Linked DNA regions of Saccharomyces cerevisiae S288C. The protein of the gene in region 1 interacts with the protein of each later gene in a biochemical or structural test. Each region holds a gene or a part of one and is shown in the gene's direction. Other genes may lie near its edges.

Region 1 (8,245 bases):
ATGAGAATCTTTGCTTCAAATGAAGTTATTGCCAAGTCTCGTTACTGGTATTTCTTGCAAAAGTTGCACAAGGTTAAGAAGGCTTCTGGTGAAATTGTTTCCATCAACCAAATCAACGAAGCTCATCCAACCAAGGTCAAGAACTTCGGTGTCTGGGTTAGATACGACTCCAGATCTGGTACTCACAATATGTACAAGGAAATCAGAGACGTCTCCAGAGTTGCTGCCGTCGAAACCTTATACCAAGACATGGCTGCCAGACACAGAGCTAGATTTAGATCTATTCACATCTTGAAGGTTGCTGAAATTGAAAAGACTGCTGACGTCAAGAGACAATACGTTAAGCAATTTTTGACCAAGGACTTGAAATTCCCATTGCCTCACAGAGTCCAAAAATCCACCAAGACTTTCTCCTACAAGAGACCTTCCACTTTCTACTGAACTGTGCATATTTGAATTTTAAGATATAAAATATTTTTCTGATACTTTAATAGTTTATTTTTATGTATTATCAATTCTGTAGAATTTAATAATTTCAACATTTCATGAACGGCCAGAGGTAAATGGGTAAGGCTTCCTTTCAAAGAATCTATAGATATTAAGGTTTGCATGAAGTAAATAGCTGATAACCTTAGTACAATTAGAACAAGTTGAGACAAATAGGAAGCACCCCAGCATAAGAGCAATATCCTCAGAAAAAAAAAAAATGACTAAGCTAAATAATTAATTTTTTTAAAAAAAACTTATAGTACAATACACGCTAATGTTTGGCAACTGGGGTTTCACCAGTCATTCTGGCGACAAATTCCTTCGCCATATCACCAAAACCAACCATGAAGACAGTTTGCCAGATACCTAAACCAATTCTTGGGGTGACACCACGGTAAAGACCCTTTAGACCATTTGATTGATAGATGTATTTAAATGTCTTACCAACAGTCAAATTTTTTGGTCTGTTTGGATCTTCCTTCTTAGATTGCATTTCAACTCTAATGACTTCGATTGGTTGATTCCAAGCACTTAAACCACCACCTAAAGCACTGGCACCAATTTTCTCGAACGGATTCAACTTGTCGTCTTTATTGGTTTTCCCGGTGATCTTTCTGATACCATCTTCCACTAGTCTGGACAAACCAAAACGAGAACCCCAGTTGGTCATTTGTCTAATAGCAACAGCATTAACACCCTTATTAATACCTCTAATACCTTCCTTTTTATAAATATTCTTGAACACACTCCAAGAAGATTGTGGGACACCACCTGCGGAGGCAGATTTATGTCTTGTAATTTCCACCGTTTTCATACAGGTACAGAACCCCATGGTTAAGTAGGCTTGAGTGACACCACCCGTGACACCACCTAATATACCTGAGGCAAAGTTGTTCAACCCCAAACTTTTGAAACGATACTCAGCCTCAGCTGACACGAACAGCAACACAGCACCTTTAGTGGAGGCTTCGATCCATGCCCATGGAATCAAACCTTGGTAGTAACCCAAGATACCACCTCTTGACCAGACATGCTTAACAGATTCTAAAAATGTGAAGTTTCTGTTTGCAGCCATTGTGGTCTTAACAACCTCCAAAGGTTGCCCTAATGTAGTCACCTCTGACAAGTTTAAACAGGCACCCAATAGGATATTAGAAAACGAGACTGGCTTTTTTTCTATTACGTTTGCTGCAGCAGTATTAGTGGTAGATGGCATAGCTATAATGACGTCGGGCTTTTCCTAGCTTTATTTGTACAAAAGACTTATATAAAAAGATTGTATCAGCGCTGTTTATATCTCAATGAAAGTAGATATATATACCGTAAGCGAGTTGAAACAATGACTTGAGGTGGGCAGCTTCGGACTTTTTGCAAAATTCAAATCCGAATATCTAGAAGATTGTATTGACAGCGTTTTTTAAATGTCCGTAGATTTCTCGAGATATATAAATGTTACAGAAGGTAAGATCCATGCAAGAGGCTAATGCGTTTTTCTTTTTTTTTTTTAGAGTGCGATATCTTGTCATAAGTTTACACAATGGGACAAAGGAAGCTAAAACATGAGTGCAAAAGAAGGGCCCATGTTTGTCGCCCTATGCATTTAGCCAATCATCTTTTTTTTTTGCGTGATCTTTATCAATCGTGATTCTCTGCCTTCTGAGTGAAAAAAGTCATGATCTTCGCGTTATTGCAGCGGAATTTGCCGACAGGACCTAGGTCTTGAGAAAGAAAAGTGATAGGGTAAGTAATGGAAGAAGAGGGCACAGGTCCAATCACGCAGCTTCATTACAGGGCTATAATTGCAAGAATAATAACTTTCAACCATATAGAAATCCAATACAGTATATTGGTATTGTTTAGAAAGGTATTAAGAAGGCAGTAGCATACAGAGTATATATCTATAGGCAGAGCATCAGATCATAAAGATAGTGGTGAAATGGCTAGAACCAAAAGTAGGAAGCGTTCCGGAAATAACCAAAATAAGAATGCGTCTGTGGTAAATAATAAGGCTGAGATCGCCGCCATGATTGATGCAAGAAGGCTTGAGCAAAAGAAAAAGGGTGGGGTGACTAACAGCAAAGGAAAGACGAATAAGGTAGTGGATGCGAAGTTAGAAAAAGAGTTCAAAGACGTTTTACAACGATTTCAAGTGCAAGAGAATGATACGCCGAAGGAAATCACGAAAGATGAAAAGAACAATCATGTCGTTATTGTTGAGAAAAACCCAGTTATGAACAGAAAGCATACAGCAGAAGATGAATTGGAGGATACACCCTCGGATGGTATTGAGGAGCATCTATCGGCAAGAAAACGTAGGAAGACTGAAAAACCTTCACTTTCGCAGTTAAAAAGCCAGGTACCGTATCCTCAAATTATAGAATGGTACGATTGTGACGCAAGATATCCAGGCTTACTAGCGTCAATTAAGTGCACCAAAAATGTCATTCCTGTTCCAAGCCACTGGCAGTCCAAGAAGGAATATCTATCTGGCCGTTCTCTGTTAGGTAAAAGACCTTTTGAACTTCCTGACATTATCAAGAAGACAAATATAGAACAAATGAGATCGACGCTTCCGCAAAGCGGACTGGATGGTCAAGATGAAAAGTCACTAAAGGAGGCCTCAAGAGCAAGAGTGCAGCCGAAAATGGGCGCCTTGGATTTGGATTACAAGAAGTTACACGATGTGTTTTTCAAGATAGGAGCCAACTGGAAACCTGACCATTTGTTATGCTTCGGTGACGTCTATTATGAAAATAGGAATCTTTTCGAGGAAACGAACTGGAAAAGAATGGTTGATCATAAGAGACCGGGGAGAATTAGCCAAGAGCTTCGTGCCATAATGAATTTACCCGAAGGTCAACTACCACCATGGTGTATGAAGATGAAAGACATTGGATTACCTACGGGATATCCTGATCTGAAAATTGCCGGCTTGAATTGGGATATAACGAATTTAAAAGGCGACGTTTACGGAAAAATAATCCCTAATCACCATTCAAGGTCCAAGAAACAGGGTAGAAACTATTTTGGCGCATTGATCTCATTTGAAACCCCTGAATTTGAAAATTCAAAAGAGGATACACAGGCGAATGCGGAAAATGGGCGCCAAGATGACAAAATCGATGATGAAGTAGAGCATAAGTTAGATCACTTCCAGGAAGACATATCCGAAGTGACAAGCGCAGAAGAAAAACTTGAGAGAAACGAAGAGGAATCGGAGAAGCAACTATATACTGTATTGAAATAACTACTAAATATCGCATAGGTACTTCAGTTTTACAAAATTTTACATGTGGTACTATTTCTCACGTACGAGTTTTTTTCTTTTTTAAATGCGGCCCTAAACCATGCTGAAATTTTTCATGAGCTCATCGCAAAATTTATCTCATTATCAGGTCATATAGTCACTCTCAGGAGAATCCTGCTCGATCAAAGTGAGGCAAGTAAATGCGCATATAGAAGAGAGCAAAACTGTCCTATTTACAAGCTTTTCAAAACAATGGGCTCAAAAGTAGCAGGTAAAAAGAAAACCCAGAATGATAATAAACTAGATAACGAAAATGGTTCACAGCAGCGCGAAAATATCAATACCAAGACGCTTTTGAAAGGCAACCTTAAGATATCAAATTACAAATATCTTGAGGTGATTCAACTAGAACATGCTGTGACAAAATTGGTGGAGTCTTACAATAAAATAATTGAACTTTCACCAAATTTGGTAGCTTACAATGAAGCCGTTAACAATCAAGATAGAGTGCCTGTTCAGATACTTCCTTCTCTATCACGTTATCAATTAAAACTGGCAGCTGAATTAAAAACCTTACATGATCTTAAAAAAGACGCAATTTTGACAGAAATTACTGATTATGAAAATGAATTTGATACTGAACAAAAGCAACCTATATTGCAAGAAATCAGTAAAGCTGATATGGAAAAGTTAGAGAAGCTAGAACAAGTTAAAAGGGAAAAGCGAGAGAAAATAGATGTAAATGTGTACGAAAATTTAAATGAAAAGGAAGATGAAGAAGAAGACGAAGGAGAAGATAGCTATGACCCAACAAAGGCTGGTGATATCGTCAAGGCAACAAAATGGCCTCCAAAATTACCAGAGATTCAAGATTTAGCGATTAGGGCCAGGGTATTTATTCACAAATCCACAATAAAGGATAAAGTTTACTTGTCTGGATCAGAAATGATCAACGCACATAATGAAAGACTAGAATTCCTAGGCGATTCGATCTTAAATTCTGTTATGACATTAATTATTTATAACAAGTTTCCCGATTACAGCGAGGGTCAGTTATCAACATTAAGGATGAATTTGGTAAGCAACGAACAGATCAAACAATGGTCAATAATGTACAATTTCCATGAGAAACTTAAGACAAATTTTGACTTGAAGGATGAAAATTCCAATTTTCAAAACGGCAAACTAAAACTGTATGCAGATGTGTTCGAAGCTTACATTGGCGGCTTGATGGAAGATGATCCAAGGAATAATTTGCCCAAAATAAGAAAATGGTTAAGAAAGCTTGCCAAACCTGTCATTGAGGAGGCTACCCGTAATCAAGTTGCCTTGGAGAAGACGGATAAACTTGATATGAATGCTAAAAGGCAGCTTTACTCTTTGATTGGCTATGCTTCATTACGTCTACATTATGTTACCGTAAAAAAACCCACTGCAGTTGATCCTAATTCCATAGTTGAGTGCAGAGTAGGTGATGGAACAGTTTTAGGGACCGGTGTGGGCAGAAATATCAAAATTGCGGGTATTAGGGCTGCAGAAAATGCTCTTCGTGACAAAAAAATGTTAGATTTTTACGCCAAACAAAGAGCTGCCATTCCTAGGAGTGAATCTGTGTTAAAAGATCCCTCACAAAAGAATAAGAAAAGAAAATTCTCAGATACAAGCTGAAACGTTCCTTTTACACAACCATGATGGAACTTGCATTGATTTTCTTTAGCCATATAATTATCGCATATATGTCATTCATAAAACGTTTATAAAACATTAGAATATTTGATATATTTGAATATTTGATAAAAAATTTGATAATTTTTGGGATTCCATTGTTGGTCAAAGCTATAAAATTATGTATGTACTAGAAGTTCTCCTCGAGGGTATAGAAATCCTTAAAATGGAATCGGTATCTTACCATAAATGTTCCACTAGAATGTCATCAGATGAAAAAGACGAAAGAAACATATGACTAGCTCGCGTGGCGTAATGGCAACGCGTCTGACTTCTAATCAGAAGATTATGGGTTCGACCCCCATCGTGAGTGTTTTTTAGTATTTTTTTTAAAAACAATTGTTCCTCTCTAAATTTTAATCAGTTTTTGATCATGAAGGGTTTTGTATGTAGCACATAAACATTTTTACTGAAAGAAAAGGATAGCCTAAATATTAGAATACAATAAAATTTTTTTGAGCCTAGTTTGACACATTTAAAACAGCATCCACACAGCCCCACCAGTTAGCACACTCAGTATGACTGCTGTGATGATAGCGGCACCAGCGCGATCACCTTTCTTAATGTTTAAATTGTTTTGTAGCACGTTAGTGGTCGATGAGTTCATACCGGCATTCGCGTCACCTTTTGACGTACCGCCATTATCTTCCTTATATGGAGCTGGCCTGTCATGAATTAAAAGATTTTGAATAACTTCTAGAGCACTCATTTGCTCACCTAATCCATAGTAGCCATCATTGGTTTGTTTCTGCCAATTTAAACCACATGTATGCCCATCTGTACCACCATTACATGATTTTGCAGCGGCCTCAGCACTTGTTTTTATCAAATCATCAATTGTGTCCCTAGTAAAGGGAGCCATGACACTTGTAAGACCAAGCATACGAGAAAAAATACTTTTGAATGTTCTTTGATCGGTGTTACAGGTGCCATAGTCTTGACAAGCGCTTTCGTACATAATACTATCTTTGAAGAAATAAGATTTAGCACCATTTAGAATTTTTGTCAAACTGGTCTCCCATTCACCTGTTCCATTTGTAGCATTATACATGTATGCAAGACCACCAAGCACGATACCGTGATTATAAGTCCATTCAATTTTTGTAATATCAGTGCAATTTGTATCAATTTCAGCACCATCAAAGACATTTGCAGTATCGTTAAGAACCACATACCCGACATCCACTAGCCAGTCGAAAACCTGTTCAGCAACCTCCAAATATGTAGTGTTACCAGTATATCTGCCCAACCTCGCCGCAATCTGGAACAAACATGCATTTGAAACTGTATTTTTATAATTATAACCACTATTCCAAGTGAAAATTTGCCATCTCAGACCACCGCCACAGTGCTCTGAATCCCATCTTGAGTACATGGTGTTGAAAACAGCTTGTACCATTGCCAACCAACCTGGCTTGCCGTCACCGGGGTCTGTAAAATTTCTCTCGACAGCACCCATAACAGTAATACCCCAAATACCTTGGTCATCATTCCCCTCAACCATCGTTTGGTTGGACGGGATATAATCGTAATTGGAACCAGTTTGCGCTAATAGTGCATCGTATAGTAATTCTTGATATGTATCATTCTCACAAAGAAACCAATTTTCCAACATGCCACCAAATGCTTCCCCTGCATGCCACCAATAGTATGGTGACTGAAACATCCCAACGGTACCACCGTATCTAGTACCCTCATAGTAATCCAGCATACCACCTTGAATTAACGCTGTCGCATCACAAATTGACGTTTTGCTAGTAGTATCCAAATCCATGGCATGAGTGGCTTTAAAAAATGACAGAAACGTAAAGCATATCGATAAGATCATCTTCGCACTAATATTGACGATCATATCTGCGTTCTGGATATGATTTCGTTCTAATTTGTTCGTCCTATATAACAACCAAAAATTAATAAAGGTGATTCAAAATGAGATAAAGGACAATGTACACAGTCAATTACTTAATTAGATATTTGAGTAAAGCTGATCTTTTGGAGAAATGGGCTTTTCATTAATTTACATTCTATTTTTGGGTTATACTCAGTTTCGCTTTACGCGGATTACATTGTTTTTTTTTCGGGCGTGGCTCAGATTGTGAAAAAGAAATTAAACAATTTAAGATTACGGTTATCGCATTAGAGGCAGAATAACTTGAAAATGGGAAATTCCCCAAGAAGGTGACCTATACATGACAATGCCAGGATATCATACATAAAATACATAACCCGTTTCTTGTTAATTGATTTCTTTCACCTTTTTATTGATTGTATTCATCTTTTTCTAATTATCGAAAGTGTCATTCGTGAAATTCTTCAGAAAATTTAGAATGTTATCGTCAATCAATTGGGCTACTGGGTCAGAAAATCTAGAGGCAATTTCATTATGTACTTTAGTAATGCCCATATCTTGTACTGCAACACTCAGAGCATCTATTAATATTATTGAGAACTCGATGTACCAACGATGATTCCAGCAACAAATCTTGACTACTAGATCGATGATTGAGCTGTCGATGTCATTGATACTTGACAATATTTGAGAAGAGGTTAACTCGGAGTTTGCTGAGACTGAATCCCTCCTAATACGCTTATGCTCGTCAATGTAAAACTGTAATAGATTCTTTGCGCATACTGGAGAAAATCTTTGGGAAAGCCCAATTTGGAAAGCCTTCGCAGCTTCTGGAAGATGTCCCAGTCTTTTCGCACAAAGGCCGAATAATTCCCATTCAACAGTTAATTTGTGATATTTACTGTTTTGAGCATCAAAATACAATTGCTCTGATT
Region 2 (4,943 bases), on another chromosome or scaffold:
TAGTTGAGCTTGTGAGGTTGCTAGCGCAGTATCCAGATGTCCTTAGACGAGCATTCGAAACTCAAGAGCCGGCCACGATTGTAACATATTTATTCAAAGTTTGCCATCAGGTCTCCTCGTGCTATAAAAAAATATGGGTTTCCGGAAAACCTGCAGATATTGCCATACCGCGACTCGCCGTATATTCAGCAAGTAGACAAGTGTTACACAATGCAATGTCGCTTTTGGGACTAGTCCCGGTTGATAGAATGTAATTATATGAATAAGCTAGCAAATGCTAGATTAATTTAGATTAAGTTTAACCAATTTATAAACATGTAAATAGAAGAAAGTTTATTGTTACGTACAACGTGATATTTTCCGATTTTCCTTTAATTGATTCTTGAATAACCCACCTACCGTTAGTTGAAATAGAAACAAAGAAGAAGGATATGCAAGTTTATATTGGACAACATAACCAATAGAAGATGGATCCAAGTTTAGTTTTAGAGCAAACGATACAAGATGTGTCCAACCTCCCATCAGAATTTCGTTACCTCTTAGAGGAGATCGGTTCAAATGATTTGAAGCTCATCGAAGAAAAAAAGAAATACGAGCAAAAAGAATCACAAATACACAAATTTATAAGACAGCAAGGCTCAATACCGAAACATCCACAGGAAGATGGGCTTGACAAAGAAATAAAAGAATCACTTTTGAAATGTCAGTCTTTGCAAAGAGAAAAATGCGTTCTGGCGAACACTGCCTTGTTTCTAATTGCTAGACACTTGAATAAGTTGGAAAAAAACATCGCTTTATTGGAGGAAGATGGTGTTCTAGCCCCCGTGGAAGAAGATGGAGACATGGATAGCGCTGCTGAAGCCTCTAGAGAAAGTTCAGTTGTGAGTAACAGTAGCGTGAAAAAGAGAAGAGCTGCATCAAGCTCAGGATCCGTTCCACCCACTTTGAAAAAGAAAAAAACTAGTCGAACATCTAAACTGCAAAATGAAATTGACGTTTCTTCAAGAGAAAAGTCTGTTACTCCAGTGAGCCCAAGCATTGAAAAGAAGATTGCAAGAACAAAAGAATTCAAAAACAGTAGAAATGGTAAAGGCCAAAACGGTTCCCCTGAAAACGAGGAAGAGGACAAAACTTTATACTGCTTCTGTCAAAGAGTTTCGTTTGGAGAAATGGTTGCATGTGATGGACCCAACTGTAAATATGAATGGTTTCATTATGATTGTGTAAATTTAAAAGAACCTCCGAAAGGAACATGGTACTGTCCCGAATGTAAAATTGAGATGGAAAAAAACAAACTGAAAAGAAAACGTAACTGAACAAAAATACCTTTTTGAGACTGAATGACCTCATTTACACTAATAATATTCCATAAGCCAGAAACGGTGATTGCTATTCTGACAATGTGCTTTTCGAAAAGGAGAAGTAATTTCGAGACATCAGCTAGCAAGGACATATACGATTGACATTTTTGAATGTACTTTCAAATACTTGTGAATCAAACTAAGATATGATTCCTGCATATTCAGGTATATACTATATATTTTAATTTCATTAGCATATGTGTCATACGGTTTTTAAAACTTATGAGCAGGAAAAAGGTGTCACGTGATCAGATGGTCTTTTTTTCAAACTTTGACGTCGGAATTTTTTGTAGTGAAAAATTTTTCGAGATGAGGAAAGGAAGAAAAAATTAATTTGTTAGCCTTATAACGTGAGCACCTTTTCGATAGAGTATCTGATTGCTCTCTTCTACCAAAAGATCACCTGAGGATAATTTTTAACCAAAAGAAAATAATGAGTTTCAGAGGAGGTAATAGAGGTGGCCGTGGCGGCTTCCGTGGCGGCTTTCGTGGTGGACGTACAGGCAGTGCTAGATCATTTCAACAAGGACCACCAGACACTGTTCTAGAAATGGGAGCTTTTCTACATCCATGTGAGGGTGATATTGTTTGCCGTTCTATCAACACTAAGATTCCATATTTCAATGCGCCAATATATTTGGAAAACAAGACTCAAGTCGGTAAAGTTGACGAAATATTGGGTCCATTAAACGAAGTATTTTTCACTATCAAGTGTGGTGACGGTGTCCAAGCAACCAGTTTTAAAGAAGGTGATAAATTCTACATTGCCGCTGACAAACTATTGCCTATTGAAAGATTTTTACCTAAGCCTAAGGTGGTAGGCCCACCAAAACCAAAAAACAAGAAGAAGAGAAGTGGTGCCCCAGGTGGCCGTGGTGGTGCTTCAATGGGTCGCGGTGGTAGCAGAGGAGGTTTCAGAGGAGGCCGTGGTGGTAGTTCTTTCAGAGGAGGCCGTGGTGGCAGTTCTTTCAGAGGTGGATCTCGTGGCGGATCATTTAGAGGAGGATCTCGTGGCGGATCTCGTGGTGGTTTCAGAGGAGGTAGAAGATAATCTAGCTAGAAAAAAATAAAAAAAAAAACCATCCTTTATCTTTCACAATTCTTCATTTCTTCCAACTTACTATATCTGCCGAAGCACGTCTAACGTCGAAAAAAAAAAAAAGAAATTACCGTTTGTTCTGTATACTATATATATATATATTTGTTTGATTGATTTACCTGTAATAAATTGATTTAAAATGAAAAAAAGAGAAATTCAGTAATACCAGAAGCCGCCGTAGTTAAACAAACGACCACGGTTCTTACGGTTGTCTTAATATTATATCCATACAAAGTTTACGAATGGAACACTATAAATAAAACTTTTTCTTTTCTTTGTCCATCTCAGGTTTATGCTCCCATTCAGTTTCTTCCTTAATACCCCTTTGCAATCTTTTCAACTTGAGGGTAAATTGTGGACCCAGTTCTTGCAAACCAACCCTTTCATTATCTTTGAAGACATACCGATGCCTTCTGAAGAAAATGTAATCTCTTTGATTATGTAGGGTGATAACTTGTCGACCTTCAATATCAGGATTCTGAGGTAAAATGGACTGAAACAACCTACCTACTGTTTGACCCAATCTGGTCTGGAAATTATTTAGAATCAATTCTGGAATATGGCTAGTTGGTCTACCATGACCGACAATTTTCTTCACTTCAACAAATGATGATAATTTAAAATAAAAAGTTGGGCCCTCTGGCAGATGTATGAATGTTAGGCCAGTAACCTTTTTCTTGTCCTCGTTGATTATCACGATGTCAGTGAAATTCCTTTTTATACAAATATCAGATATTTCCTTCAATTTGTAGCCAAATTTTCTTTTCACAAATGTGACGTTTGGTAAAATTTCGATTAAAATGTTAGCAAATTCATAAGCGCTCTTCTTAGCGTTTACATTTGTGGTCAGAAAGATCTTTGGTGGCTCATTAGAATTGCTGTTGAAGTATCTCATCAAATCGTCTTCATCTCCCTCCACTTCCTTGTTAATGGTCTCATCGTACACTCTAGTGTTCTCTATCGTCTGTGTTACGTTCTCTTTTAATCTCTGCTCCCGCAGCTCCGGATTCTCTCTCTCTTCCTTAGCTCTCTTTCTTCTCATGGTATGGCGCTCTTTATTTTTTTCATGTTTTATATCAGCAAAAATTTCTTGCCTCTTTAGCTTGTTTGTGATGTTTATCTCATTACCGAGAGCCATTTTTTAGTATTTCAATATATTAAGCCTGCTTTACCTCTTCCTTAGGTGTTCAATCGTAAAGTATAGCTTATGGCATCGCATTTCTTTTTACATCTCATCGCTAAAAATTTTACTTTTCCTTTGTATAAATAATCATGTGTGACGAACGCGAAAATGAAAAATGCACTGAATTAAATGTATACAACGTTATATAGATCGTAAATATGTATATTGAAATATACACCTTTTTGTTCTTTCTACTACTGTAAAAGAAGAATGCATGCGTTATGACAGGGCAGCACGCCAATTTAACTTATTGCATATTTCAATGCAGGCTGTCCAGACAGAAGGAAAAGCTACTCAATTGTAGGCTTTGGTTCCGGCGTTACCCCCTTTGGTTTTGAGACTAGAGGTGGTAGAGTTTGGCTTACCATTTCTCAATATCAAATCGATAACTTCTTCGATCTTCTTGCCCTTACCGAACTCATTTTCCACTTGGGCCTTGGAGGCAGCGCCCAACTCACCCTCGGCACCCCTACCGTCCTGAGGAGTGAAAACTTCGAAGAGTTCGACAACTTCAGATAGCTTACCAATTGATGGATTTTTCAAATATTCGTCTACAAGCTCTTCGGATGCAGCGAAGACAATCAAATCTGTATTTTCACCCTTGTAAAAGTATTTGGTTACAGTAGACATGTTGATTTTATTTTGTGTATGCGATGGTTTTCTTATTTTTATCAGCTTGTTCAAAGTATGAATTTGTTGATAGCTGCTTTTTTATTAGTCAAGAATTGAGTTTAAAGAACATTGGCTTGTGATCATCATCGAAATTGATTCTCATCACTTAAATATCTTTTGCTCCCTGTTTCTGGCGATCCCTTCGACTAAATAAGGGGTCGTTGTTGTTACGTACGGCCCAACAGGGTAGTGCCTGCTCTAGCGTCGAAGTTAGAGGAAAAGAAGCTTAGAGAATAAAAACATTTACTAGTAGTAAGGGGTCTTATTGTCAGAAAGGGACAATTGCGTGGGCAGTATTTTCAAAGAGTGGCTTTCTTCTTCTGAACGGAGTTTCAACCTGCGCTTTCTTTTCCTCCTGCTAGGATTTATTTGTGAGAAAACGAAACTAGCTATAGAAACGCGTAGCACCGGCAGGCCGAAAACCGCTACTACGTAAAGGGGAATGAAAATGGGCCAAATTTGGTGTAAAGATATAGGAGAAGAGACACGGAGTAGGAATTCGCCGTGCCCCTATACAGAGACAACATGAATAGAGAGACAAACGCATTACGTAGTCTTGGAAGATAGCGCAACGGGAAATCTTGACACAGTAAGAAACATTTACAGTATAATAATACTAAAAATAAAA

Evidence for each region.
Region 2: the proteins of RNT1 (region 1) and GAR1 form a complex in vitro, tested with the Saccharomyces cerevisiae proteins (one study listed by BioGRID).

Annotation. Positions count from the first base shown.
Region 1 is NC_001145.3:745,421-753,665, reverse strand, and holds RNT1 (ribonuclease III), read left to right. Parts: upstream 1-3,988; coding exon 3,989-5,404; downstream 5,405-8,245. Other genes in the region: 60S ribosomal protein eL20 RPL20A, read left to right, coding at 1-441; YHM2 (Yhm2p), read right to left, coding at 761-1,705; U2 snRNP complex subunit CUS1, read left to right, coding at 2,426-3,736; DFG5 (putative mannan endo-1,6-alpha-mannosidase), read right to left, coding at 5,937-7,313; BCH1 (exomer complex subunit), read right to left, coding at 7,743-8,245. UniProt on the Saccharomyces cerevisiae protein: DsRNA-specific nuclease that cleaves eukaryotic pre-ribosomal RNA at the U3 snoRNP-dependent A0 site in the 5'-external transcribed spacer (ETS) and in the 3'-ETS. In vitro, cleaves synthetic 5'-ETS RNA A0 site in the absence of snoRNA or other factors.
Region 2 is NC_001140.6:280,150-285,092, reverse strand, and holds GAR1 (H/ACA snoRNP pseudouridylase subunit GAR1), read left to right. Parts: upstream 1-1,794; coding exon 1,795-2,412; downstream 2,413-4,943. Other genes in the region: arginine--tRNA ligase MSR1, read left to right, coding at 1-254; histone acetyltransferase YNG2, read left to right, coding at 468-1,316; rRNA-binding ribosome biosynthesis protein RPF1, read right to left, coding at 2,711-3,598; RTC3 (Rtc3p), read right to left, coding at 3,938-4,273; YHR086W-A (uncharacterized protein), read right to left, coding at 4,701-4,862. UniProt on the Saccharomyces cerevisiae protein: Non-catalytic component of the H/ACA small nucleolar ribonucleoprotein (H/ACA snoRNP), which catalyzes pseudouridylation of rRNA and is required for ribosome biogenesis.